Linked DNA regions of Lepisosteus oculatus. The protein of the gene in region 4 purifies or fractionates together with the protein of the main gene of each other region. This does not show direct contact. Links are inferred from orthologs where the notes say so. Each region holds a gene or a part of one and is shown on either strand. Other genes may lie near its edges. The genes, in order: cnot1, cnot9, serbp1a and rc3h1a.

Region 1 (7,739 bases), on a different chromosome or scaffold from region 4:
ATACGTTGTATGTTGGTGTTTGAAATATTCCCGTGCAGTGTGTGCCCTTTTACGTTCTGTGCTTAAACAGATATGACCTTGCCCTAATTGCATCATCATGATAACGCAAGAGGTCGATGTTTTACAACGGAATGAGCCAATACACGTTTGGTTGAGGTCTGGTTACAGGTTTGAGCCGAGACGCAGGCAACTGGCGATTACAGATTGCAGAGGTGTAACAGATAACGGCAGGTTCTACAGAGGGGGCAAACGCAGAGCCCTGCTTACCTGCAGATGTCCCAGGGAGGCAGGGTGTCGGGGATGTGCAAGGCCTTGCGCACGTCTCCCCGGTTCAGCCAGCTGGTCTGGGCGGTACTGTTGATGCAGGGAGGAGCCTCTCTCACAGCCAGCTGCAAGAATACAGACTCCTTCACAAGAGCCAATGCCCTTGAAAGACACTGCCAATAACGGAGAGGAGACTGGACAGCTAATCCTCTATTAATTAACCCCAGGAATTCCCAGTCCCGCCTGCTGCTTTTGCATTCCATCTTAATTAGCTTGAACTTTAGTTTAATTAAGCTTGAGCTTTATTGCTAAACCGAAGCCTTAATTGGATGAATAATTTGCTGGGTTGGAACACTGCCAAGCTTTTTTTTTTCCTATTTAAAAGTTGTGGAATTTTGTGTTGCTTATAGTGTGAAATGCAGTTGTTGAAAGGTTACCTCCAACCTCTGCAAGAGCTGAAAACAGTCAAACGGTTGGAATTAATCGTATTATTAAAGTCAGTTAAGGGTTCAATTCCATAGCTGAGAGCTTGACTGGCACAAATCCCAGCAGGTAAGTGGGTCTCCTGGACCAGGACTAGGAACCTGGTGCAACTATTATATTTGATCTTTTCTCTCCTAATGTATAAAAACCTACACTTGAGGACTTTTTGACACAGCAGACCTATAACATGCTTTAACTGTACTCATAGGTAGCTGTAATGTTCTTCTTCTCATATAACCTTTCTGCTTGAAGAACTCGGAAGCTAAACAGAGGTCATATAGACGCGCTGTTCCCCCAAATATGTGAAAGTTAGTTCCTTACCAAACTGGTATCCCAGTGCGGCCTGTAGTTCCGAAAGAGGTTCTGCATGTCCCTGTGATAACGTGCAGCTGTCCCCACACCGCCAGCGCAGTCCAGATACAGAGCATAATCGTTCAGCCCAGAATCATAGATAATATTAAATGCACGGCCCACCTGCCAAGAAGACAGAAGAAGCTGTTCAACTTTCATCCATCCGCTTCCAACCTCTTGGTCCGCAACATACAGTGGTCACGCTGAGCTGGAACCTAAGCTGGCAGACCATGGGGGCAAGGTGGGATACCCTGCGGTCAGGACACCAGTCCATTGCAGGGCATTCACACACCGGGGGGGGGTCACCATTTATGCTCCACACTGAAGGTACCCCAAACCAGAAATGAACCTAAGACCCCAAGAGTTGTGATGCGGCCTTTCCTTTCAGCAGAAACCTTAAAGCTAAAATAACACCAGCTCATTAAGAATGCGTTTTCTGCGCATCAAGAATCCAGACCTTTGTTTTAAATGGGGCAGATGTTGGAAAATTACACTTTTCTCTTCAGGTGTGCTTCATGCTTCCAATGCTGTATTATTATTCACGGACTATGGAAGAAACTGGGAGACAATACCGCCTGAATGCAGCCCGTGTCACTGCTGTTGTAGAAGTTACATGTCCCATCTTTGCAGCAGTTCCTGTTCAAGTCAGCCCACAGTCTACAGAAAGAAAGCAAACATACACACTTTACACAGAACATTAATCTAGATGTTGATGTCCTCTCCTTTGCTATGCCTGCATTCTGGTTGTGTGAGATTTTTTATTTGTTATGCAGTGGCTAGTACCAGTGACGAAGAGGATCTCTTTGTTGATTGCAGTGGCATGTGAAATTGAAAGGCTCCACCCACAATGCACAGCTGCGATGACCTCACTTCCTGAGCTCAATGATGAGAAAACTGATGCTTACTTTTCTCCAAACAGTCCATGGTAGTACGCAAAGTAGATAAGAGACTGGTAGTTGAGGTCAAAGCTGCTGATTCCATTGCCAACTGCAAATCCCTAGAATGAGGAAAAGAGCAGGAATAGGAAATAAGGAACTAGCTAGAAACTTGTTAGGAGAGCACCCTCCCCCAGAGGTCACATCGTTTGGCAATACCTTCAAATTGATCTTGGCAGAGCTGTTGGCAATCCTGAGGCTCAGGGTGGGTGCGTATATCCCTCCGTAGCTCTCGCCAAATACGTAGAAATCGTTCTTGGTGAAATTGGGAAATTTAGTAAAGAAACTCTGCAGGGCTTTGAAGTTGTTGTCAGCCACCTGTCAGAAGACACGAAGCAGGCAGCTGTGAGCAACAGACTCCATCCTGGAAGCACAGGGTGCACAGCAGGAATACAGTATATATATAAATGTGTACTCAGACACAATAACCAGCTACCCCAGCCAGCAAGTTTTTGAAAGGTGAGAGGAAACTGGAGCGCCCAGCGAAAATCCACACGAGCACAGAGAGAACATGTCCAGAAGTCCCCAGAATTCCCCTGTCCTGCATCGAACCTAGGACCCAGGAGCTAACCCCTGTCCAAGAGCCACAATAATCAGCATTTTGACTTTTACATCATGGACACCGAGAGGGTACTGTTGCGTTTTGGCATCAGGTTCTTTTTATTTACTTAAACTCGGGCTGCACTGACCTCATCGTCGTTGGTTCTGTAGTCCTTATCGTCTGAATAGGAGTAGCCCACACCAGCTGGAGACTCCAGATACAAGACATTGGCAGCTTTATTCCAGCTGTAATCGTTTAGGTACAGCGTGGCTCCGTCATCATTCACCTGCCAGAAAGGATGGGTAAATGAAGCTCAAATGGTAATGTAGAAGAGGAACTGATTTTTAGACCATGTGCTGCACAGGTATGAATTTACACCAGACAACTGTTGCTAGCAATATTGGCTGTTCGGCCAATTTCTACACTTCTCATTGTCTCCTTGCTTTTGTGACTTCTTTTCGTTTTCGGGTTGGATCTATGAAGGCCTGGAACAAAAACCTGGAAGGTGAATTTGTCTCCAAGCTAAATGAAATCTGGAACGACCACAGAACTCTAAGGAAAAAAAAGCGTCCCCTGCGATAATGATCAAGTGCAGAAGACGACCATGAGTTTTGCGGGCAGTTTTGAGCAAGTCTCAGAGGGAGAGCTCAACACTGAGGTAAAAAAAAAATTGCTCACGTGGAAAGGCCCATTCTCTGAGAGAAACCCGTCCAGGGAACTGCAGCCTGGACCACCATTCAACCACAGGACAAGAGGGTCTTTAGCTGGGTCTCCCTGGGATGTCACAAACCTGCAAGGCCAAAACAGGGAGAAAACAGCTATAATCAACACCTCCCTCTTCATTTTTTATCTGAGTGTTATTTTCAGAACTATACTACTACCACTCAGCAATAAAAATATTCACATATTGGGGTACATTTTCAATTTGCAAAGCTAAAAATATAGCGAGAAACAAAGGGGTCTTCACCTGTTGTCCCAGACAGCCCCAGTACATGTGCACACACCACGTTCACTCACGTTGTTTTTATTTAAGCATCAGAAATACAAATAACATATCCTTCATCCAAATCAGGTCAAACAAAATACAAAATAATATCAAAATCTCTCAATTTAACATTTACCTTTAAATGTTTAGCAATAACATTTTGCAAATCTATCCAAAACAATTTTGTGCATATGCATATTAACAAATGTAACAAAGATTCCTTCTCATTATTACAAAATGCACATAAGTCATCTCGCTCGTGTTCAAATCTAGAAAGTGTCAATTTAACAGGATAAAATCTATGAACAATCGTAAATGATATTTCTCTAACTTGATTTGTTAGAGATCAACTGCACTCGTTTCTGAAGATAGTGAACACCTATAAGTCACTGCTCGCCTAAGCACGTAATGAGCTAAATTTAAGTCCTAAAGGGATCATTTTATTTCAAACGATTTCTAAATTACCTGTTTTAACAAATCACCTGCAATTAAAATCACAAATCGGTCCAGGTATTTGGAAATTGGGGATTTCTCAGAGGACAAGGGGATATAACCAGAAAGGAGCCCTTGTTGGAGAGATTCGTGTTATAAATCCTTTCCGAAACTGAGCATCGTTACCTTTTCCGCTCTCGTCCGGTTCAAGAGAACTTTTCTCACCAACAAGTGAACTGACGAGGAAGTTAGAGTAGTGTTCACCGTACGTTGAAAAACGAAATATTGCATCTTCTGCTGTGCCGCGGCTGTCTTACCAGTAGTGCAGGTACTGCCCGGGGCTGGCTTTCAGGTACCCTGACCACTGCCTGAAGTTTGGGGTGAAGGACTGTCCGGGGAGATCGGTCACTTCATCTGGATCATAGACGGACTGAGCGGAGCAGCACAAGGCTGTTAAAACGACCAAGCTGCGGAAGAGCATGTCTATATTGCACTCACACACAGAGAGAGAGAGCTGGAGTGGTTTGGGGGGAATGAGAATCAAGTCTTTCTTTGGATGCAGTTCAATACTAATCAAATTGGTTGGCAGAAACTACCGGCTGTAGTCCTGGAGCTGAAGGGTCACATGACAACCCCCCCCCCAGATCTGTCACGAGTATTGAATCACGTGACTCGGATGACGCAAAAACTACGCGACATATTACGGCTCCTTATACCGGAAGCGAAAGTGACCAAGTAATTTCACAAAAAAACGGGGTATGGTTTGATCTTCAACACACACTCGTACATTTTGCTGCAGCAAAGACGTTTCGTGGGTTTGTCAAACTTCTGAGCGTTTGTGTTGCTAAAAAACATCAAAGCCAGGGAAAGAGGTTGGAACACCGTCCGATTTTTTATTGGATTACACGTCATTGTTCCGTTTGACAACTTCGGTATAGAAACAGATAAACTTGTATTAAGTTTGGTTTCTAGACTTCCTTACAAGGCACACGTTTTGTGCCACACAAGGCGCAAATTGCAGTTTTTCAATCAGTGAAAGCCTCTTTGTGCTTTGCGAGCTCATACACCAATAGGGAACCCTGCCCCATCTCTCTTCCACAATCATAGGCATCACTTTGATTAGGGAACAGGGAATCTCTGATTTAATTATTAAGTGCACTTCGCACCCTTCCATTAAGCCCCGCGTGGGTTATCAGATAACAGGTTCGTGGAGAAGATAAGATCAATGACCTGAGCGACGACTCTTCGGGATCCACTGTCCCAAACCCACCAGCAGATAGAGGACCCCTGAGTGTAACGAGGCTAACGGACTGGGGAAAGGTAATGCAGCTGTGAGTCCCAGTCGTGTCTAACACTCGATCAGAACGCGTTAAAAAAAACGTTAAATGCTTTTTTGTCTTCGTAAATGAACCTTTTAACTTGATAGGAATGCATGGGAATGGTCACCATCGCCCTTGTCAGCCCGGGCACACACGCTAGCAGTTCTCAGGCAAGGGGTGAGGCACAGACCGCGATAAAACGTCACATCGTGATGCCTTTGCTCTTTGGTTCAATGGCTCGGATCACTCACTAACTCGAGAGAAAACGACCATAAACGAACAGGATTCACTTTTTTTCCACCCTCGGCACGTGACCTCCCCGCGAGGCCTGGTGCCGCGGAGAGACGCTCGCGATTTTCAAAAACCCACACCGGCGGCGCGTGCCGCGTTCCGCTCACACCCGAATAAAAGTGCCGAAAATTAAAATCCGCCGTGATGTTGCTAGATGACCTGATGTCGACCGTACCATTATCCCGTGTCTTGGGGGGGGGGGGGACCGGCTGAGGCGCCGCAGCCTCTTTCTAGCCGGAGCGAATTAAGGAGTGGGGAGGGGGGGGTGGTCTGGTCTTAAAAAACATTTTTGGGGAGAGAATAAAAAATGTTTATGGGAAACCTATAATCTGGCGAGTTGTTTGCATGAATATTGATTTTTAACGTGCTGTATTTCGGCGCAGTTTTAATTATTTGTCTTCATTTGTGTAGTTTTTTTTGTTTCCGGAGTTGGTGTGTGTGGGGAGGGGGGAGGGGGGATGATGTTGCAGTGTCGCGAGCTCGATTTCAAGAAGATGGCGCTGTGAGCGCGCGCGAGATGTTGGTCGCCATTTTGTATTGAAAACCAAACCGAACTCGAGAGGGGGCAAACGTTATGTTATTATTTTTGTAACGACTCGGGGAGAGCAAAAATAAAGAAATGACCTTAGGAAAATAAGTGAGGTAAATATGATACCGTACCGGGGTGGGGAGGGGGATAATATACATTTTTGTATTTGTTTTTTTTTTCAGTGAAACGTGTTAGAGCGGAACGTAGGTTTGTCAAACTTCCAGTGTTATCATCAAGGTTTTTAAACCGACACCAAAGTTATCATTTTCTCGCACAGAATTAATATATTTAGATATTTTGTCGTTTTGTACATTTGAAACGATCTTGGGTTGAATACCCGAGCGGCACTTGTAGTGCGATATATTTTGTGCAAAACGAACGGGCTGAGTGAACTGTCTCATTTCACCATCCGTCTGCTAAAATCTTAGAGAAACAAAGGCTTTAAGAAGAGGTGGGGTCCTTTATAGTGTTATTTTCGCTATTTACATCTTTGACTTCACCAATGTCGCCTTTTTTAAAGACGAAGTTTCGAATTTTGTAAATCAGCTTAGGTCGGTCCTTTTGTGAGAAATAAACCCCTTGGTTAGCTATCATAATACAAGATCATATTACTGACGGTTCGGAATATTCTTTCACATTTTAGAGCTGTTTAAACAGCTTGGAACATTAAAAAAATCGTTATGTTTTGAAACATTGGCGACTGATTTTAGAAGCAGATGTATTTTAGCGTTATTGGTTGTAGCTCAGTGCTTGAAGTTCAGTTTGCAGATAGAACTAAGTTGGCCTTTTTACGAAACGGCTTTTTAATGTGTGAGCTATTCACGGTTTAAAAGTTCCTTTAGATGTCTCCCTAACTGGTTGGAAAGAAAGCAGTCCTCATTTTCCTGTTAATATACATCCACGAGTACAGTATGTGCAAGGGAAATAGGAGTACTTTAACGCCGAGTAGCTACTTGTAGGAGCAAGTGTGGTACATATTCGAGGTAGCTGAAAAGCTAGGCACAAAAAAAGCAACTGAAGTTTAAACTTTGCACTACCAAGTAAGTAGTCTGGAGGGGGTTAGCTGAGTTTTCCACTTCATTTATTTCTAACAGAGTCAATCTCTTGTTTCCCTTTTTTGGGGTGGCGGTGCTCTTAATTGGGGAAATTAGTCATTGAGGTTGAGGCTAGAAAACACGGAGCCGGTATTTTCTTGAAAAGAGAAAGCGTTTTAGGTTGGAACTGTTCTAAAGTTTCTTTCAGAGTATTTTTTAGGAGAGGTTCATCTTGGTGCGTGTTAGGTTACTATTTTTTTGACAACACCCTCCCTAACTAGCCGTGTTAAACTTCGGGGTTAGGGGCTGACCTCTTGCTAAAACGAAACCCTTTAGTGCTCGTAGTTCGTACCCTTAAACACAGTAACGGCAGCTGTTTTTAAATTGGGTTCGGTTGTTATTATTTTTGGCCACATTACTGGAATGTTGAGGAAAAATGTTTACACCTTTTCGGCTTGGAATGGTTTGTTGGGGGGTTAGGCCCCGGTTACTTATTGTAAGGTAATGTTTAACGGTCGTTGCATTTTACCAAGCAGTAGAAAAACGCATGAAAAGCACCTCATGTATTTTATACA
Region 2 (7,399 bases), on a different chromosome or scaffold from region 4:
TGCTTACAACAGTTCTAAACATGTTATACAGAACCTGCAACTGCACTGCAGTGAGCAAAGTCATATTGATCATAAATAACTGAATTCTAGAAAATACGAGTGTCATGTTTATTCACAACTGTTTTAAATTAAATCAGAACACAGAAAATCTACAAAACCAGTGTTTTTTAGAAACGAAAAGCCACCAGAACTATACAGTGACCTCTGTTGGTTCCCCATGTCCTTGAAATATAAAGGATGTAACACACCTCTCACTGGAGCCCTCTGAAGACTATCCATTGACCTCCTAAAAACAGGGGATGGCAATGAAAGAAGCAACATACAGCTGAATCTATCACTTTTCAATGTTGTGCCCATTATTAAGAACATCAAGGCTACTGGTACAGTGGTAACTCCGTTAGGAGGAGGACACAAGCATATCTTGCCATCATGACATACTGAAACGTGTTTCGGGAGGCTCAGAAATCTAAAGACGACAACTGGAGATCTCCAACCCAAACTGGCATCTTCGGGATACAAAGTATAGAAAACTGACATTCAATGTTGTCTGATGTAATGAAAGTTAAAAATTAAATAAAAATTAAGACTTGTGCATGCTCATTAGCATTCTGTTTGGTATAAAAAAGGGGAAGCTCACACTGAGAGAACAGTATACATCCAAACCAGCAAACGAATGGTTAACAGAACACAAAGTAAATGTTCTTGACTGGCAATCTATATTACCAGTCACCAAACCAATCTAACATTTGTGGTTTGAACTATAGAAGGCAGTTCACAAAAAAAAAACAATCATCTTAAGGACCCGGAATACTTCTGCCTGGAGAAGTGCTCAGAAATCTTCTATAAGAAGCACCAGAACTATACAGCACACTGCAGGAGGTGCCAGTGTAATCTATGCCAGAGGAGGATTAAAAAAATACTCACTACGGGAATGTGAATAAAAGTGATCCTTGTACTTTCGGAACTTGATTATGACAAATATGACTTTGCTTTGTGCAATGCTAATAAGATTAAAGTATGTATTACAGCTTTCCATTAAATGATGTATTTTGTTCCTATTTCAACAAGCGTTTGGATAAATCTGGAAGATCCTGTACAACCATATATATGTACCGTTTAGTAAGTGCACCATATGCTAACATGCCTTAAAGAACAGGCAAAACAGCACAATTTAGGAAAATAGTACAAATTTACCATCTGTTTTCTTCAACCTCATTCCTAACAGAGGTAGGGTGAAACACATGAAGCTCTTTCGATCTGAAAGACAAGTAAACTGTACCTGAAATATTTTGGGGACTCCTCCACTGTTGAACCTCACAAAGAGGTTGACTTTGTTGTCCTTCTCGTGGATCTCAAAGCTTCCTTCCTTCCACTTGGTGGTACCCAGTTGCAGGCTGTTGATCCGGACGCTGCCTAACAGTTTTGGCACAGTGGCTGCCATGGCTTGAAGCACAACAGACACTGGGTCACTGGATCTTCAAGTGACACCTGGGCCAATGGACAGCCCTATGTAAAACCTGAACATTTAACAGAAGGTTTCCAGTTAGACAGCTCATTTAAGGTTACTTGTAATACTTTTGAGGATAGAAACTTTTCTTGTGCTTATTCATACTAGTACTATATTTTTTATACTCTTAAATTCATTATGGACCTATACATCATTTTTCATGGGAAGCACAAACATTACATAATTGCCTAAAAACAGCTGGTTCACAACATCCTTGTCCGTGTTCAGTATTAAAACACCAATAGCTAAACATTTCTTGGGGTTATAATCAAAATGACAGGTGGTGTATACAAAGAATGAAGCAACACACCAGACTAGTGACAAATCAAAATAATAACGTTCTGGGGTGAATCTAATTGCCATGGGAGAAGGACTTCACCAATGTGACATCCAAAGATGCAGCTGCAGCCCATGAAAGTTCTACAGATAAATTCCCAGCCTTTTTTGCTTTCGTTTTGATCAATGATGGCTTAAAATATTTTCAAAACCCCTGCTCTATAACTATTATCAGAACATGTGCTGATGTCTAAACACTTCATGTCTTGGGAGGCAGGAGAGCATGACACATCCCACCAAAATTGCAAGCACTGCGGATAGACGTAGTAATTACAAACATGCAGGAACATTAATTTTGGCAAACTGTGGAACATTATTTAACAGATACGGAGCACCTTTCAGGGGAGGCGGATTCAAAGCCGTGCATTGAAACACTTTTGACTTAACACGGGGAAGCCGAAGTCCACTGATCGTTGTGTGAGACGCGCTTACAGTATTTTCACACTCATTCAGAACCATCGCTTTTAAACGATACAGCATGGAATCTAAGCACCAGACCATTGCGACTAGCAAAACCAAATCTAACGCACAAAAGAATGCAATGAGTAAAATATGCTAAGCGTATCTTACTACACCAGATCTTTAAACGATTGAGGATACCATAGATGGGGCCCGTGCTATTGCAGAAATCAAACAGCTTTCACATACAGTCACCAAACTACTGTCCTCTGCTGTTAAGTGTCTGAGAAAATCACGGGGAGCTGCCCACAACAGACTGCAAAGACACACGTGCACAGAGGCCAATAGCGAAGTACAATTTATTCCACAATACAGGTCAGGAATCACAAATACTGAATTAAAACAGATGCGCCCGCAAATCGTGCTGCTTCGCCGTATTTCGAACTGCGAAGATTTCCAAGTGTTACTTTTTTGCGTGTGTCCGAGAAATGGCACTTTTCTTGAAGTTCGTGAAGGGAAATCACAGGGACAAGACTGAGAGCAAACAGCCCGAAATTCAACGGCGACGAAAAAAATAGACACGAGAGTGAAAAGCTGGTTTCAAAGAGGCGATGCATTTTAACAAGAACACACAAACAGCCCTGGACGTGCACGACAGTCCCCATCTTCTCAGACCCATACATCGCCACTTTCTCCGGCAACATTTATTTAGAACGGAACTACCCCCAGGTTTCGGGAGATTCCGTTTTCTGGAACGTCGTCGTGGGCAGGGATAACGAAAACCGGCAATCACATTAAAGGCCGGGATAATGACAGCCACTGTCAGTAATTTGAATAACAAGAAGAGGAGGAACGCAGGACTCCGGCAATTACAACGAATAATGTCTTACGTGCAAAAGAAAGCGTTCGGTTTCCACGCTTTCCTATATTTTGCGTATACTCCCCTCTCGTCTCCTACGGGCTGGTAGCCGTGTGGCCGGCCTCCGGTAGCAACTATGTTGTTATCGTTGACAGTCGGTCCAAAACGCAGCCCCACCGGTGTGTATGATGGCGGGAACGTGAAAATCAACAACGGAAACCCGGCGCGAGAACATGCGCTGTGGTATCGCGCGACAGAGTGGCATGGCGAGAAGCTGCGCAGTGCCTTGGTTTTCTTCCTGTACTGTAGTTTACAGGGGTCAAGGGGTTGGTTACTTTTAAACCTATAAATATTCTTACCTGCTTTAAGTATAAAATGTGGAAACCTTTTTTTTCTCCTTTAATGGAGCATAGACTTGAGCGCACATAGATAATTTTGGAACTCCCATAATCCCTTAATATTGTGGTGTAATTCAAGAGAAAAACTAAACGTTTTCAAAAGTTTTCTTGCTTCTGGCTGGGGAATTCTCTTTAAAGAAGTATGTCTCAATGAGGACCCCTAATATTTTAAAAAGCACTGTGGGACAATAAATACATTACAATAAACTAGTTTACTTTGGAGTCTAGACAGTGGGTCCGGGGCTGAAAGATTGCTATTTGTAAAAGACTGCTAACATACTTTCATTTTTTTTCTTATTTTTAATACAAAAAAATTAACAGTGTAGAGCGGGTGAAAACACACGTAATTTTTAGTGTAGGAATAAAGCCTACTGAAATACATAACTTAATATGCTCTATAGGTTTGATTAAAAACTTAAGCTTTTGAAGGAGTGGAAGCCATTCAGCTCCTCTACATTGTTTGGTAGTTAATAGCAAATCGATCCAAGAATCTCATCAAACCATTTGTCAAAAGAAGCTCTTATAATTAAATAATCTTACGGCATGTAAGACATGTCTAGATTTTTTTATATCAGGAAAAAATAATTAAATAAAATATTGGCCAGCCCTTGTGAAATATATGTCAGGGACTTGTGCAATACATTTATATTTCTATTCAGTTATGTAACCCAAATATTGGCAACGCAAAGTTGAGAGGTCACGCAGAATCAAATTATATCTCTTTAATTTGTTTTCGATTTTATTTAATATTTTGTTAAAATCCTAAAACTATACGAATGTAGCATTTGTATAGATCGGTGTAAAACAATAACTGCAACCTTATCAATTATTGTAGTTTGTTTTTTTTTTTTCGGAAATGTGCGCGCGAGGTGAAAGGTCAGAGGTTACAATTCCGGCGCTTGCTGGATTTTTCTCTCTGTTTTTGGAAACAGAGCATATATTAATATTAAAAGAAAGTAAAGAAATCCAACGGAATTAAAATAGGGACTCCGCAACATTCAGGCGATCATATCCAGGCGCTTCAGAGAATGTTGGCTACAGGGGCGGTAAGATTTTATTTAAAAGTACTTTATTCCTGAAGATGCTCTAGGCCTCGGTGAAATTTAAAATTTTGACGCAAGTGTAGGGACTCCTTAAAGACTCGATTGGCTGTTAAGTGATTTCACGATCCGATAAAGTTTGTTAAATATTTATTTGTACTGTTTATTTTAGAGAGTGGGTTTAAAATATTCTCTTTCTAATGCAAAAAAGGGTATTCAGTACAGGGGTTAAAAACTACGGAAGCATCATACACAGGAGGCAGTTCAGGTCTGTGAGAAAAACAACGGCATGGTGGAATTTCATACTGGTGGACGATGTAGTTACAAAACTTGTAGGTTGTTTTCTAGATGCAGTTTAAGTGCGAGTAAACCGACACCTTGTATTTTATATATATACACCAGATAATTCAACTTAATGCCAGTGGACTACAAAGACTGATTAAAAACTGATGAAGTGAAGTTTTAGCAGCAGGTCAACTTGAAATGTTGTATTGTATTGAGAAGGGACTGGTTGGTGGAACTAGTGTTTAGTATGGATGTTGTCATTTTATGTTTTTTGCTCTGCATTTTTAGAATCCCGACACTACATTAAGGGTGTAAACAAATACCTTTTTAAATTGTTTTCCTAGTGCTTTTTCATAATTCTGTTGATAATCAGACATTGAGAGCTTGATAAGGGTTACCATATTTGAACATTTAAAAAAGGGGTACACTCCTTCGAGAGGGCTATTTGTACCATTATCTATTAGACCTTTATTAGTTGTATTACGGTTGTATATTCTGTGTACTACGTTTCGTCTATAAGTCTATATTGATCTGCAAAATTATAAAAACCGTTATGGCCTCAGAGATACTTTATTCAAATTTTACTGTATCTCTTTATATGTAGTCCTTTTCCTTCACCAGTCCTTAAGTAGTCTTCCTCCTGATGTGCCCAAGCAAATGTCTATGTAGAAAGCAGGTTTCTCAGCAGGAGAGAAGACGTTGTGGAAGTCTTTGCTAGAGGTTTGGCTGAAATTGTATGGAACAAGTAATATCCTTTTCAAGTTGTTTTACCTTGTCCACTGGCTTTACATGTGTGGAAAACCTCACTTTACATTCCTATCTTGAGTAGGAACAGCAAAGAAGAAGTATGCGGCTTTAATAGCACTGAGTTCCACTTGGTGTTTTTTTTTTACTTTTCAAAGTATTTGATCCACATCTGGTGTGATTAAATTCTTCATTATTATCTCAACCTCCTATCAATTTCTTTAGATTATTGACCTAATCAAAATACTTCACAGCATCAGTTACTGCCTCCTTATCAATCAGATCTTTGACGCAAGGTTCCACATCAGCCCAATTCAGTGTTTCACTCAGGACAATTTGTTTAAAACAAGAGAAGTCTTCAAGGGACCTCTTCTACGTCTTGAAATATTCTGAGGATTTACTATACAGATTATCTGTTTTATCACATAATGTGTCACACTCTTCAACAGATCCTTCCATGTGCATTTTCTGCCAGTAGTCCCTTACTTGGGAATATTAGAATCAAGCTTGTTATCACTTCCAAGACAGAGCTGTTTTCCCTTTCAGTTTCTTGGATATATGTTTGGAATAAACTCATGAATGCTCAGAGGTAACACTCACTTAATTCATACTCAGAATGTCTTGATCAGAGTAGGTGGTTTGTCCTATAACAAAAATGAGGAGTTAAAAGCTGGAAACTGTATCAGTCTTGTAATGTCTGGAAAAAATGACAGTTATGTCGTGCCATGAGAAAATAGCTTAGGACATTCAAAATCTATAAACCCTGGATTTGCTGGATTACCTGATTTGCTGTCTGGTTATAAAACATAATCTGCCATTTTTGATGATGAGCTCTCCTCTCCAACTGCTTTCTCATGCTTGTGTGAGTCCACACAAACTTGTAAATCATTTGCACCTTTGTCTACCACAGAAGTACCAGGTCTACATACCAAGCACTCAGCTTCTCATTCTTCTATCCTGCTTGGAAAACATAGCAATATTGTCTTTACTTCTGAAGTGAATGAGTATTTTTGGTTTGGCATTGTGTTTAGGGATAGCAAAGTAAAAAAATCAAATAAAGCTCTCTTGAGCAAAAGCTACTGTGCGCAGTCCAGAATCAGATAAGATACTGAAATTAGTGCTGTGGCTGAGCCAGTGTGGAGGTTTTGGGAAAAATCCTCTCTCTTTGGAATGAAAATTGAATGGGGCAGAAAACTAGACACTCCAACTATAACCAATACATAGTCTTGCTCACGAATAATCAGCACTCCATTTCACATTCAAAACCTTTGGAGACAAAGATATTAAGAGGAAGATATTAAGATTTGAAAATTCCTCCCAGACAGAGATCTAAGGCCTACAGAGGAGGACATGTCTGGGGGAAAAAACAATATGGTAACCCTAAACATGTTTCAATTACAAAACCAAACACAAGTCAGAGTAGTACAGGACTATGTTAGCTGTAATTAAAATCTAACTGTATCTACTATATCTGTCTTAGCTTACATAGATATAGATGATACAGTTAGATGTAGCTGTTCTATAGCAGGTTAATATAATTTGTTATCACAGTGCTGTCATCTTACTGTTTTAACTTTTTATGGTGAGATTATTTTTCATGTATTGTTGTTGCACTGTGTTGGAAAGGAGATACCATTTGAAAGCTTTACAAATGGCAGTCTACAGTACCTAAAGTGTTTTAAATGGTTTTCATTATTACAGTAGCAAAAATCCAAATATCAAAATCCGTTTGTAGGCTCCATTCTCTCAGACCGTCTGCATTCTTTCCTTGCAGGCTGTAACCACAGCGCTGGCGCAAGTGGATAGGGAGAAGATCTATCAATGGATCAAC
Region 3 (7,954 bases), about 5.9 Mb from region 4:
AATGGTAGCTCATATATAAACTGGGATACCCCTGTGAAAAAGAATACAACATTTAAAACAACCTTTTCTACCAAATTTTTGGCATTGGTTTCCAAGTGCTCCCTAAACAGGAGTTTATTTTCATCCTTATTTTCAAACATTTGCAAATGAAGGTCAAGGATTAAAAAAAACTAGACATGACCAAAGTAACTGCAATACAGGGGCAATATGCAGGGGGGGGAACTTTCCTGGAAATTACTGTGTAAAACTTAAAATTTCAAGATTTCAGCTCACCAGTCGTTTTACACAACTGACCACAGAAAATAGGCCCAAATAGGCAGTGTCCTATGCCTTTTGTCTAGTATAAAATTAAAAACTAAAAATTTGTCTTTGGGACAAATTAATTCAGATTATGACGCACCTTCTCTTTGTGACATTTAATATAGAATTCTCAATTTCTTCTAAAAAACAAAGAGCTTTTGAACATTGAGGAACACATTTTTGTGTTGTAACTGATGTGCTTTTTTTTTAATGTAGGGGCTGATGGCTTGGCATATCTACATTTTTTCTGCAAAGTCTGGGAAAACTGAAATCATTTCTCTCCCCCCCAAAAAAACCACTAGCCCCCAACTCAGCCCATAAACATCCCCTTCCACAGCTTCCTAACCCTTATACTGTTCGTAAGCTTACTTCTCCACAGAGAACTCTCCACCTTCGGGCTTTTCTTCAGCAGGCTTGTCAAAGCGGCGGTCGCGTGGGGGCCTCCTGTCTGGCCTCCTGTCGCCGGGCCTGCCCTCTCCCTGACCCCCCTGCTGCTGAGAGCCCTGCTGCTGGGACTGCTGCCCCTGGTGTGGGGACTGCTGGTCAGGCCTACGGCCAACTCTCCTGATACCTGAAATAGAAAGCCAGCTGGTGAGTTAGGCCTGAAAAATCTAATCCTTCATCCGTGAACAGGGAAGCACGATTCAGATTCAACTCGCAACGTGTTATTGGTCCTGTCCAATTTAAAAGAAATAAATTAGATTACTGAACTCAATTACAGCTTTGGAATATAAAAGTATACGTGGATTTCAAACTGGACAACCGCTAAAACGAAGAAATTAACTCAACCTGTTATAATTTTAATTCCTAAAGGACATAATGCTAGTTTGCTGTGAAGTTAAGAAAGATGTTAGAAGACTTAAAATGTTTTTTTTTTATAATGCACCCCCAACTTAATTAGCAGGTGATTTATGTATTTTACACTCCTGAGTATTTTTCGAATGCGTCATAAGCTAATTAGCAGAAACCAGGTTTAACAAGCGAGTTTGTACATACCAAATCAAAAAGCATGTGTTAACTCCTGTATGTAGTATGAACTGAATAATGATAATGCTGACTTACAGCATGAGTGGCGACTGGAGCTGGAAAGGTGTGAAACCACTTCACTAAGTGAAAAAAACCCACAATATTGGGTTCTCAAGAGGTAAGTTACAACTTTTGCTACTAGATGGAGATCTAGTTCAATATACCAAGAGAAATCATTTGGTCAAAAGGTTCCCAATTCTAAGAGCCAGTGCATCTGTACCCCACCCCCCTCCAAAAAACAGCCCTCAGGCAGAACACCTCCATATAGCCTAACCCGACAGCTGCTGGCACATTTGGATGTGCACCTGTTGGGGACGCCTCTTCTGTATGGGACCAAACTGGACTTTTTATCTAAATTAAGCCCTTTTACTGAATTGGTAAACGCCCACTTTCGTTTTAAAACGATTACAAAGGATGCGTCTATTTTTAGAAAAAAAATCAAGCGCCCAGTTCCAGGTTTAGTCGAAATAAAAACGAGTCCATTTTGAATTTTGTTGGGTGCATCCCAAGAAAGGTCCGCAAGCTCGTGTTTGGGGGGGAAAAAAAAACAATTTTCGAGGTACTAGAATAAAGCCCTAGCGCGGTTCCTGTTTGCCCGATACAGGCGTGAAGTCGACATCATGCAAACAAAGCACGTGAGAGCTGTTCCGAGATGTACATGCCGCTGGACTAAAATCTAAAAGGAATGCATGCAAACGAACGAGCCCGTTTGCGTCACATGCAGAGGACAAAACTGATGAAGCCCAACGACGCCGAGGGGGTCAAACGATTGTTTAAAAATTCCCTCGCTAGCTCCCAGCACCACGCCTTCCACGGCGAGCGACGACTCGCGAAGATCGACTTCCGAGTGCTGTGACAGCTCGACAGCCTTCCCCAAACTTCCACCACGAGGTTGGCGACCTGACTGCTGCAGCGCCAGGCCTCTGCGAGAGAGCCTTGCTGTAGCCGGCGTTGGAACTGCTTTAATCAGACCGAAACACTTCAGCAACCTCCCCGCTCTGCAGTATCTTGCAGGCCTGGTACTAGGAAACGCATTTTAAAGAATTAACCGTATCTAGACCCCCTTCAGCACCGGATAAAGCATGCGCAGGTACCACCGGGAGACTACAGGAAGAATGCATTTTCGAGTCCCCAAAGGCGTACATTTTTAGCTTGGCCGAGCGTGTATAAGGCACTGAACTACTGTCTGACTGGCTTAGAATAGGAACCATGTTGTTGACCTCATGGGGGGTTTACGCAGTAACATTAACACAACCCCCTTCCATGTTCTGAAATACGCAGTCCACTGACCAGAGAAAGGGGGAAAAAAGTCACCTTCTTTTTTGAGAGGCACAGGAGCCTGTGTCTCTTCCTTCTTGTCAGGGAGCGGGTTCTTTCTGTCCTTCTGCGACTCTTTTTTCGGCTGCTTAGCGGCTTGAGCAGCAGTCTTGGCGGTAGCAGTGGCGGCCCCGTCCTTCTTCTTGTTCTCGGCCGCTTTTAACACCTCAAAGGGGTCGCTCTCGTCATCAAATAGCTGGTCGAACCGATTAGTTACGACGCAGCCGAAGCCTTCTTGCAGGTGTCCGGGCATGATGGCGCCCCTTCAGCGGGATTCTCCTCCGATTCTACGAGGCTTGAAGCGAACAGCTCGCTTGATGCTGCCACAAGATGGCCGGGAAAGAGACCGTCTTCTCTTCCGGCGCGATAGACATCCGGGACTTCAAGCTCGCTGCCACATGGAGAATGTAGTTTTTAATAGAGGCAGGGCTCTAGAAACATATTGCAGGAGCTGCAGTGAAAGACTACAAGTCCCGGAAAGCATCTGCAGCTAAAGTGCTTGTTTCTGTTCTTGAAAAACGTCTGCTTGGGAACTGTAACTAGTAGCGCTCGGCATGGCATGCTGTTGGTAAACTGAAAGGGAACGTGCACGCTTGTGTCAGTGTGGTTTCATTTAATTTTTCTTGGTCTGCAGATGCTCAGAATTGTCAGTCTAATCACTGAAAGCTTTCATTCACTTTCATTTCATTCACATGATCAATACTAGCATTAGAGGCTGATGCTATGTAATTTGATTTTAATGGTATCATGCATTTCAAACAGTGGAGTACACATTTTGAACAGCGCCTAAGGAGTGTTGCTTTGTAGCAAGTGAAAGCTTTATTGAAAACATGGTGGCGCAGGCCTCTCGTTCACAACCAGTGTGCTTTAACATTTTCTCACCGTAACATTTAATAAAAATATTTTACTTAAGCATTTAAAAGCGTTAGCGTTTCAACGAGAATTGCTCTTTATAACAATTGCCTGAAGCACCATCTAATGCATTTTTAAATAGGGGTCTTGAATGGAATATAGTGGGAGATTATGGTTGTTATTTCCAAGCTTTTTGAAATTGTGAAGTTAGAAAAGGAGTATAACAGTAATGTGCTATGAGGCCATTCTTTGATAGCACAGCCATCCAGCGTGACAATTTTTGCATTTATGTGCCTGGTTTAAATTGAGTCTGCCTGCATTTAGTCAGCTAGTGCATTTACCATTGACTGATTTCTCTAATTTTTCTAATTCCAAAATTTGAAAATAACGCTATTTTGCTTTTTATGTTTTACTCTTTATCTCTAAATGAAATTGTATTTTCAATTATGCTGGCTTTTGCAGTATATGCAGTACCAACAGTATCATAATAAGCACAGACAGCGAGTAGTCCTATGAATTTGCATTACCTCTAGCTATGGTTATATGAACTAATACAGCAGCTGATTTGATTAAATGATCGTTTTTTTTAAGTACAAGAGGATCTGAATAAAACAAAATGGCAAAGAACCATCTTGTAAGGTGGCTGTCTGTGACCTAATTGTTGACATCTGATCTGATCAACCATCCCCCATTCAGATTAGCTTTCCAAAACAGAACAAAGCCTTTAAAAACACCTTAATAAAATGTTGGGTTTTTTTAACCAAAAATGACTTGATGGTCAGTAAATTGACTAGATTTCTTTAACCACCTTTCTTGTGATGTTACCCAAATTAGAAATGATCAAGTATTTGTTCAGAGTGATCTTTAAATAGTGTTTGACACATACTTATACCAGAGGTGATGAATGAATTGGCACCTTGGTGACAAAGTGTGGGACACTTATACTTACACAAAATGTTTTCTCTTCTAATGGATTTCATTTCAGTGTTACTGAGAAACAGTTCACATGCATATTCCAGATCAGGGAGCAATTTCACTTTTCAAAACCATTTTTTCAAGGCTTAAAGGTGATTGACACTTCACTCCCATCATGTTTAAACCTCATTCAATTTTTTTTTATTTTACTTACAGCAAATTCTATTGCTTTTGTATCCTAATAAAAGATTTTCCATATCTCCAAACTGGAAGGTCCAAATTAATAAGTGAAACATCTAAAAAAAACACTACATGCCATTTTGCTGTTTGGACTCCTGTCAGACAAGTTGAACATTTATGAGGCTCCACCTATAACAGCCTTGCTATTGCATAACTGAAAAAGTCAGCTAAGCTTCCAGTATTATCAAAGACAGGGTGTGCCTGTTTAGTCCTAAGCATTAGTGGTCTTTATAAGGCACTATTAAGCACATACTAAGATGAAGAATTCTCTTCATTATGAAACAAAAATCTGTAAGACATTAACTGAAGTTAACTCACCAAAATATAATTCAGGACTGGGATTCACATACTGTAAAGTTGGGTAGATTTCTGCACTATTTATTAATGCAAAATTATCTAGAGCATTCTAAACCAATTACCTTCAATTCATTTTATTATAATGCATAATCTCTGAATTGTTAGAGAGGCAGTTTGAAATGCTATAATACCACTGAGAAAAAAAACTATGACTATGAGCTATACTCTACAGACCCTTTAATGTGTTTGTTTTTTAATCTAAAAACTAAATTCCAAGGAGGCATTGTTTTCATTACAGTTTCAGCACTTGATACTGAACAGCATGGTAATGAAAATATCTGCCATGCAGAGACATAACACTTGCAAATATTTAGTCCCCTAGATTCAGATGGGCTATTTCACTCACATGATATGTGCACAATTGCCAACAATAAAGACAGATGCAAGTTTAAAGCTTTAGGCAGCTATAGCCTGAACAGAAGGTTCATGGGAACTTATGACTATGAGAAGGGCAAACTGGGCAATGGTAGGAAATCCACAAGAAATATCCAGGATATTTGAAATTAAATTATATTTAATTTCCAAGTGTGTTGAAATAATGATCATTCACATGGGGAAAGGCCAGAAGCCAGTGTTAATTTCATTTTTTGCTAATATTAGCATTTTTAGTTTATCTGAAAGTTGATGATATACTTGCCTTTCCAGTCTTGTTCAAAATTGTACTTTTCTGTGTGAATGGATAGTTATATTCAGACATTCTGAAATCTAACAATTCATGTGACAGCTACAAGGCAAGAGAGAAAGTCATTGTATGTTATCCGATAATTACCCTTTATCCTGATAAGCAGTGAAAAATAAAATACTTTTTGAAATGTGTGATTTTTAATAAAATGGTACGTAAAAATGTTAATTCATTGTTTTCCAGACAGGAGTAATCTCTAGTAACATGGAAATCTGCTAATATTTCAGAAATATATTTCAGAAAGTTGCATTGATTTTACATTATTTGTTGTTATTTGCATTAAAATCCACCCAAAAACTCATTAAAAATACATGCAGATGCATTGTTAAAAGTTGTATATAAATTAATATGTAGTGGAAGTTTTGGATTTTTGAGATGACATACTCTTAAAACTACTGGAGGATCATTAATATAGCTAGCAACTTAAACACGATTTTAATGCAAATTAAACCAGTCGGCTCGGTACACTTTTGATAAAACAAATATATTTTGCACGCCTAAAGAAAATAATTATATTATTTTTTCTATATTCTATACCGGAATTCTTGGGTGCAGCTGAAACTTGTCTGGCTGCTGCTGTCGCCTTTGAGGTTCAGATGGTACAGGGCAACGTCATCATAAGCGATTTCGAAGTTACCTGCCAGAGTATTCAGACTCGGAGAAAGATCAGGCAAACATCAGACTGCTGAAAAACGCCGGATACACACACTGGGAATCTATTTGATCCGCGACTTCGTCAAAATAGCGTTTAGAAAACCTGTTTATAGGTACAAAGCTTTCTTTTTCTCGCTGTATTTGCTTCTATTACTATTAGAATAACCGTGATTCAAAAGCAGAAACCATGTAGTTAACGATTCAAACCGGCAAGTTGCATTACGTTTTCTACATCCGATCCAACGACAGGAGTTAAAATCGGAAATATTAGTGGGGCACATCAAGAAGAAAAGAGAAAGATGACGTCTGCCGTGACTGAAGCAATGATTGAATCGTATACGTTAATGGTCATCGTGATGGCAACATTCTTCATTTATTTCTGCGTCATGGTTTGGGCTTTTTGCAATCCAAAACTTAGCAGCGAGGATGAAGACAGTACGACTAAGAATTCAAATGAAACTTATACATGTAAAATGCCCAATAATGTGAAATACACGGAAATTCCAATGGAACAAATTCACGTCATGCATACTCAAGAAATGACACAAGGTGTTTTGCAAGAAAGTGACTGGAATGAAGAGGAATCTAAAGATAAGCATCTTTATAAAACCTGGATATCATCCAACAGCAAATCTTATTATGTGTAGTATTCGTAGAAATTGTTTCAATAATTATTTTAAGTTAAAGCCAGCCTTTTTAAGTTGGATTTAATAACCAATATAATAATAATTCTTCAGTAACTTACGAATAGGTGTGATCATTTTGAGTCGAAAATTGCAGCAAATTTAAATTCCTTCATTGCTACATAAATGTAAATATACATTGGTCTGACCTTATGCTGATATCCGTTTTATAAAAAAAATAAAATAAAAAAGCTTACAGTATTTTTTTAACCCACTATTGAATTGGTCAATATTGGTCGCGTTGTGAGTATGATAGCCTTTAAGAAAAAAAAAATGATTTAAATTTCTGGCTGTGTCTTCTATTTATTATTATTAGTAGTAGTGGAAGTAGTAGTAGTGATAGTCGTAGTAGTAGTATATACTGTACAATTTCTTCTGAGCTGTGGCTATTGACCTTCAAATGTTTAAGTGGCGAAGAATACCTACAGCAACTGTGTAAACCAGGTGCGCCAATATTTTATTTTCTCCCTGTCAAAAATTAGTCGTTTTCCTTCTTAGTTTTTGAGTTTTTTATTTATTAAACGGGGGGTCAATTTTTGTATTCTGGCAGAACATAGGATATTTGCTTATTTATAAGAAAAATGGTTCAGTAATACAGTATCATGTTTATACTATTTCTCCTTTATCAATGTCACTGCAGAGAAGTGAAATAAGAGCCTCTTTAATCTGCACTCTGCAGTGAAATGGAAGAAAACACAATTCATTGTCCTCCGTGGTTTCTAATAACTGTGTCAACTGTCTGCTCAGAATTAATCTTTTCCTTTGTTCTATGTTTCATACTAATCGCAAGATTACTTTAATGACTTCATACTGCGTGGGTAGTATTGAAATCGTTGTACATGCAACTTCCTGGACTATAATTTTCAAACTACAATTTCAAACAATTTTTATCTTCATTTTATTTACAGCTTTATTTGTTGGCACTGTG
Region 4 (7,021 bases):
ACAACAGTGTTGATTAGCATGTAAAACCACAATCAGGCCAGCAAGAATGGAAATAACTTCATTTACGTCTTATAAACACTATTAAAGACAATGTTTAACTGAAAACTAGGACAAAATCCAAAGGTAAAATAATGAATAATGTTAATGTTAATAATGTTAATGTTGCTTTATGAGCCCTATACAATCTCTTGCATTAGGAATTCGTCTTTTTGCATACCACGGCTTGCTCTCCATGAAACACACAGACAGGGAGAGAAGCTTGGGGTCAGAGCGCAGGGTCAGCCATTTTAAGGGCCTTGCTCGGGGGCCCAACGGAATAGGATTCCTCTGCCAGCTGCCGGATTTGAACCGGCAACCTTCCAGTCACAGGCACAGATCCTTAGCCACAGAGCCCTAATGTGCTAATGATTGTGCAAATATAAAATGTAAATATGATTAAGCAGGTACAGAAGTCCACGATCTAACTGCTAACATTGGCACTGACTGAATGTACTCATTTCTAAACATGGAACCTCAGGTTTAACTAGTTGTTCACACTAAGAAATGTTAGACCCCAAAGTTTACAAAAGAGACATGTTGAGCTACCTGTGCCAGAGCAGTGGACTACATTAGTATTATTTGGCTCTCTGGCACAACAATCTCTACAGGCTTGCGGTCTACTTCCCGAGATTCCAGGGATGGGATTGAAAAGGAAGGGAAGGAAAAGCCTCACCTTTTCAGCTATATTCCTTAACTTTTACATTCTTGTTTTTCTAACTTCAGGTGGAAAGAAAGCCACCTGGGTAACAGGGGTTCCTCAGGACCAGGTCTGAAAACTACATTTGTAGAGAAACCTGGAAAAGGTTAATCCACGCTTACAAACAATGCATTTCTGTGGCAGACTCTGCTATGTCATTGAAGAAAGCAAAAGAAGGCAGTTTGACAGTCATCACAGGCAGTAGTGGCACTACAGGCCCGACCTTGGTGTTGGAGAACAAGCCTAGGCAAACACTTTTACAACTAGATCAGAATGCTTTTCTGACCTATTATAGGGAAATTGAGGGAAAACAAGTACACCAAATGAAAAGTAACTGATACTGCACAATCTTATTCACTCTGTCAAGTGACAACAGTTTAGGACACTCCTAATACTACAAACTGTTCACGAATAAAAGCTCTGCACATGCCTAATTCCGCTTTCACACAAAAAACGTTCTAGGTGAATATGCTTACAGAAATGCACGCATAATTTTTAAAAACACAAAACAGTGGAAAATCAAACCCCACTCAGGAATAACTCTGAGATGGAAGGACTCCTGTCTTTTCGTGCCGTAGACTCAGAGATTTTGCAAAACAAACACTCGATTACGGGGAAAAAACAACGTGTTACTTTTAACTGCTGAAAGCTCCCACTCCACGTATATTCGTCAAACAAAACCGATTTCGAGAGACTTCACATGTCGTACTTATAGGAAGCTTTAGCGAAAGCATAATAAAAACGCCAATGAGCTCTATGTTGGCAAATTTATTGAGTTAAATTCGGAATCTGAAGGGAACACCGTCTGAAAAGCAGTACGAGAGCGATCAAAACCGTGAGTTGACCAGATTCAAATCTGATTTTATATTCACGCACTCCGGATCTAAAAAGCGTTAAGAAACTGTCACCTTTTAAGTTTACTGCTGTTTTACATTAATTATTCTCTACTGAAATCAAACTTCCTTCATCAGAGTTAAAATACATGCTGTGATTTCCTCAGCAACAGCAGTCAATTGCGTAAATTTCGACAGTCACGGCGCAAGAGGTTCCGTGGCCATTTCTCACAAGACGGGACACAGAAGCTGCGACTCCGGACATTGGGGCGTCGACAAGATGTACTTTTTCGGTGAATATCGAGGTCAAAAACACTATTACAAGAGGAATAAATGAAACAGAGCACTAGGCATAGGAAGACAAACTGCAAATTTGAAAACAACACGACGGCGGCAGAGCCTACTCAACCCAGATATTCCTAAAATAAGCCAACAATGTGCATTTAAAAATCCCCAAATTCAAACCAGTAGGGCTCCCTAATTCAAAAGTACGCGAAGACCTGTTCGGTAGGAGTTTTTTTTTTTAAAACAAGACCAAAAACGATTCTACATTATGCCCAACGAGAGTCACATCCACACGGCCAACTCCGAAATTTAACCCGCTAGAAGCCTGAGGCCTACAATATTATAAATACATCAGTAACTTACCTTCCCTCTCCGTATAATCCGACCAGAACATGTGAAAGATATTCCAGCCGCTGCGAGAAACTGATTTATCTTATGTTCGCATTTTTTAAAAAGTCAGTTACGTCCTAACTAGGCCACAACCTTAAGCCTGGGACTCACTTTGATGATAAAGGCTTTTTCTAAAACGGCCACAACATAACATGAAACACACAGAACACTACTCTATCCTGATAAACTGCTTTAACTCCACAAATCATAACCTAAACGGAAAATATTTTAAATTTTTCGACAGTTTCTTGCGTCCTGATGTCCTAGTACGTACGCGACTGTGCTCCTATACAAAAACAACACGGCTCATTGACCCCCGAGAAACTACCAAATAATAATATAGCAGCATTAAACCCTAAAAGAGAAGACGGCAACATTATAAAACGTGACTTGACGTTAATCCATCCAAAATCCGTCACTAAAGCCCTGTTAAGTCTCGGCCTCCAACCCTGAACCAAGCCCGGGCGGCACAACAGCAGGGCGGCCTCCTCTCCTGGACAAAGCGGAGCCGAGACTCTCACAATACCGCCGGGCCAAGGCTGCCATCAGGCCTCCCGAAAGCCTAGGGCTTGTCGAGGTCGCCCGGGCGAGTCACACATCACAACAAGCTTCGACGAACTCACAATCTGCGATTGATCCTGGTCAATCTTCAGCTGTTCTTTGAAAAGTCAGCCTGTATCTCCTCGGTCGCCATTTTCCTGTTGCTGGCAGCCCAAGTTCTGAAGCAAGACTGCAACAAAATTGACACTAACTCTGACGAGGAGGCGCCGAGATGCTACCCGGAATCCCGGTTTGTGCAGAGCGCCCCCTGTCTGTCAGCCGAGCGCTACCATTCTGTGACTGATGAAATTTTCAAGCAACTCTCATTGAACTATCATTTCGTGTTTTAGTATTGTATTGTGATTAAAATCGCCATATAGAGATAGCTCAAGCTGTTATTGCCTTTGAATTCATAACCTGAAGTCTCATTGAGTAACAATACTTATTGTTCTAACTTTTGAAGGAACTATAAGTTTAAAAATAAATCTAACTGAATGGCAAAACACTTTCTTTTAAGCAATGCAAACTCAAAAACGGTGTGAAAATACAATTTGAATGAGATAATTTCTGTGTTTTTAACACATAGCACATAATGTAGTTCAGATGGGTAGCTGCGTCAGCATGTGTAGGCTGCAAAGGAACAAGTAATAGGTTTATTCCATGCTGAAAAAAAGAAGAAAGAGAACACAACGTTTCGGCCGTGGAGCCTTCTTCAGGTGTCACCTGAAGCTTGACACCTGAAGAAGGCTCCACAGCCGAAATGTTGTGTTCTCTTTCTTCTTTTTTCAGCACGGAATAAACCTATTACTTGTTCCATAGCACACAATGTTTTGAATTGGAAAATGGTCTGTTAATAACATTGTTAGACAAGTACATGGAATTGTGTTGTTTACACAGAAATGTTTAAACTCATAGTGGTATTTTCAAACTGGGCCTGCCAATTTATTAAGAACAATCCTGATTTACATCTTGTTCCTTTAAAATTAGTATAGTTTTTTTATTCGTATAAAATTGTTTAAAAGAAATGCCAGAAAAAAAAATATTGTTCCTATATTATCTCAGAGAAACAAAACATACCAACGAGAAACATAACGTTTTGGCTTTGGAGCCACCCGAAGAAGGCTCCACAGCTGAAACGTTGTGTCTTTTCTTCTCTTTTCAGCATGGAATAAACCTTTAATTGTTCCTCTGCAGCCTACACATGCCGACTCAGCTACCTACTTGAACTTTTTATAATAATAATAATAATAATAATAATAGCTTACACTTATATAGCGCTTTTATGGACACTCCACTCAAAGCGCTTTACAGGTAATGGGGACTCTCCTCCACCACCACCAATGTGCAGCATCCACCTGGATGATGCGACGGCAGCCATAGTGCGCCAGAACGCTTTCCACACATCAGCTATCAGTGGGAAGGAGAACAGAGTAATGTAGCCAATTCATAGATGGGGGTTATTAGGAGGCCATGATTGGTAAAGGCCAATGGGAAATTTGGCCAGGATGCCGGGGTTACACCCTACTCTTTTCGAGAAACGCCCTGGGATTTTTAATGACCACAGAGAGTCAGGATCTCGGTTTTACGTCTTTACGCTGCTCCAGGTGAGGTAGGCTATTTCAGCCTACTTCTGTTGCAACCCACCATGACTTCTGCTAAATCTTTTTCTAGATCTCTTCATCATTCCTTCTCCTCCTCCCTCGGCTACTTGTCCTCTTCTCTCACCGAACCAGCATTCCGTCTCTTCGCAGCGATCTGTTCCAAGACCAGGCTTTCTAACCACCTCCTATTCCTTTACAGATGTCATCGACATAATGTCATTCCTAAAGGATTTCATCTGAAATGTAACACTTTTTTTCTTTGATTCTGACACCACCCAGAGTAACACGCAAAGACTTCTAATAGTCTTCTAATTCTACAACAGTTTTTGAGGAAACTTATGCTTTCTATTATTTTCTCCTTCAAACAGATAACCCTTTCTGACACACCCGAAGAAGGCTCCACCCCCAAAACATTGTGTTTCTTTTCTTCTCTTTTCAGCATGGAATAAACCTTTACTTGTTCCGCAGCTGCCTACTTGAACTAAAATGTACCAACTGTAATCAAGGTAACAGGAGATGTTATTCAGAAACCATTGACAAAACACTCAAGACAGGGGTCATACTCAGGAAGTATTTCTACAGTATTGCTGCATATTTAGTCATACATTTGCAGATTATACCAAATTAGGAGGACTACTAAACACTGTACATTTGGGAACCCTAAAACATTTGCCAGAAAGAAGAAGTTGATATTCAGAGTTGAGGATGTGGGAAATGATCTGATAAAAATTTTCCTGCCTGTTTGATTATGTATTTTTCAAAGATTGTCTGCAGGGAGGGGTGCTGTTTCACCCCCATGACCTTCAAAGCTGTCTGGATGAGGTGGGTAATTTGCGATTTAAAATGAACTGATAGATTACCAAACCACACTGAAATACCATATCTGATAATGCACTTGATTACAGCATGGTAAAGGAGTAGCATTACTTCCTGTCGAACCCCAAACACTCTTAGTCTTCGCAGGAAATATAAGCGCTGCTGAACTTTGGAGCAAACACTCTCAACATGAGTAGACCAGCACAGGTTACGGTCTATGTGTACACCTAAGTACTTGTATGAATCAACCTGAGTGATACTTTAAGTTCGTTGTGGATTACTACCTGTGAGTGATCACCAACTGTTCTGGGATCGAAAACTATTTCTTTTGTTTTTTTAGCATTCAAAATTAAGCTATTGTTGTCACACCATTGCACAAATCTTTGGATTTCTGACATGTATACAGGTGAGCTGCTACCTCTATGCATTAAGCCAAGAACAGCTGTATCATCTGAGAATTTGAAAATGAAGTTGTTTTGACTACAATCATTTGTATAAAGCGTGAAAAGAACTAGAGAGCTAACACAGCCCTCAGGGGCACCTGTGCTAATAGATCGTGACTCAGAAAGAGTTTTGTTGACCCTGACATACTGTCTGCGATTTGTTAACGGACATTTGCTTCAACTTACTTATCAATAGATGGAGCTGCAGCATTTTAAATGCAGAGCTGAAGTCCACAAACAGCATCCGAGCATAGGCATTGGGGTCCTCTAGGTGTTTTAGAACAAGATGCATAATTGTTGATTGCATCATTGGTGCCCCGCCGGTGTTTATATGCAAACTGATATTGGTCCAGTACAGTGTTCACTTCTGAGCACAGCATGGATACTATAAACCTCTCAAAGCATTTCATCACAACAGACATCAGTGTTACCGGCCTGTGGTCATTGTTATCTGAGGGACAGGGCTTTTTGGGCATAGGCACGATTATTGCTTTTTTCCACAGCGCTGGAAGAGCAAAGAGAAGAGCAAACAGAAACATTCTGGGGCTGAAGGGGATGTCCTCTCCTGACAGGCTCAAAGGCTCAACAGAAAAGACTATGAGGAGACCTAATACAAGAATTGAGTATATAGCACAATCCTCAAAGGCACTGAGTGTCAAGCATTTGAATTTCTTCAAACCTGGGGTTAGAAGTGGAAGTCAAATGAAAGTTTATAACCAAGAAGGGGAGGCACATCTTTAACCCAAGGGGTGTGACAGTTTGGACCAAGATACCCATCCATGTTGTTGAAGCTGATACCTTGGTGTCTTTCAAGAAATGGTTGGATGAGATCCATGGAGAAATGAGCTACTACCAAATACACAAGGAGAACACACTAGCTCCACAAATTAATTAAGATTTAATTATCGTATTAATACTCTCCTGAAGTAATTTAATTGGTTGGACACATCTTAAATCTGACTTCACCGAGATTAGAACTACACTTCTATCAGAGCAATGGAACGATCATGTATTTTTATAAGGGCAAGCCTGCAGACCTACTGCTCCACCTAGAGGAATTAAATTGTTCACCTAGTTCATACCCAAACCCATTCACAGTATACAATATTATTCATAAATAGCTGTAACAGGAAATTAATACTAATTTCTTTTAACTAACTAAAATAACAAAAGAAACAATATTGCTACCCCCTTTTTATCATTTAAACTTATACTTATATACTTAAACTTATACTTATAACTAAGTATAATAAGATAGTATTATGTGTAGAATATATAGTGCTCTTCATTCCACAGGATCTCAAAGTGCTCCACACACAGGAGGGGACCCACTTCACTCCCCAGACAGACCCACTGGGTGACACAGCTGCCTCACTG

What was found.
Region 1: the proteins of rc3h1a (region 4) and cnot1 purify together in Homo sapiens (affinity purification with mass spectrometry; 5 studies listed by BioGRID, with this or other methods). This does not show direct contact. The link is inferred for Lepisosteus oculatus from reciprocal best matches to the Homo sapiens genes RC3H1 and CNOT1.
Region 2: the proteins of rc3h1a (region 4) and cnot9 purify together in Homo sapiens (affinity purification with mass spectrometry, with the first as the bait; 4 studies listed by BioGRID). This does not show direct contact. The link is inferred for Lepisosteus oculatus from reciprocal best matches to the Homo sapiens genes RC3H1 and CNOT9.
Region 3: the proteins of rc3h1a (region 4) and serbp1a purify together in Homo sapiens (affinity purification with mass spectrometry, with the first as the bait; 3 studies listed by BioGRID). This does not show direct contact. The link is inferred for Lepisosteus oculatus from reciprocal best matches to the Homo sapiens genes RC3H1 and SERBP1.

What each region holds. Positions count from the first base shown.
Region 1 is NC_090715.1:4,431,426-4,439,164, forward strand, and holds the start of cnot1 (CCR4-NOT transcription complex subunit 1), read left to right. Parts: upstream 1-4,739; 5' UTR 4,740-5,322; intron 5,323-6,056; exon of another isoform or gene 6,057-6,243; intron 6,244-7,739. Other genes in the region: lysosomal protective protein, read right to left, coding at 268-389, 1,069-1,221, 1,671-1,755, 2,004-2,095, 2,193-2,351, 2,723-2,860, 3,253-3,364, 4,309-4,472.
Region 2 is NC_090707.1:21,038,440-21,045,838, forward strand, and holds the start of cnot9 (CCR4-NOT transcription complex subunit 9), read left to right. Parts: upstream 1-4,381; 5' UTR 4,382-4,527; coding exon 4,528-4,545; intron 4,546-7,342; coding exon 7,343-7,399. Other genes in the region: usp37 (ubiquitin carboxyl-terminal hydrolase 37), read right to left, coding at 1,280-1,441. UniProt on the Homo sapiens protein: Component of the CCR4-NOT complex which is one of the major cellular mRNA deadenylases and is linked to various cellular processes including bulk mRNA degradation, miRNA-mediated repression, translational repression during translational initiation and general transcription regulation.
Region 3 is NC_090704.1:13,437,901-13,445,854, reverse strand, and holds the start of serbp1a (SERPINE1 mRNA-binding protein 1), read right to left. Parts: upstream 3,001-7,954; 5' UTR 2,897-3,000; coding exon 2,617-2,896; intron 872-2,616; coding exon 670-871; intron 1-669. UniProt on the Homo sapiens protein: Ribosome-binding protein that promotes ribosome hibernation, a process during which ribosomes are stabilized in an inactive state and preserved from proteasomal degradation.
Region 4 is NC_090704.1:19,336,892-19,343,912, reverse strand, and holds the start of rc3h1a (roquin-1a), read right to left. Parts: upstream 3,022-7,021; 5' UTR 2,868-3,021; intron 1-2,867. UniProt on the Homo sapiens protein: Post-transcriptional repressor of mRNAs containing a conserved stem loop motif, called constitutive decay element (CDE), which is often located in the 3'-UTR, as in HMGXB3, ICOS, IER3, NFKBID, NFKBIZ, PPP1R10, TNF, TNFRSF4 and in many more mRNAs.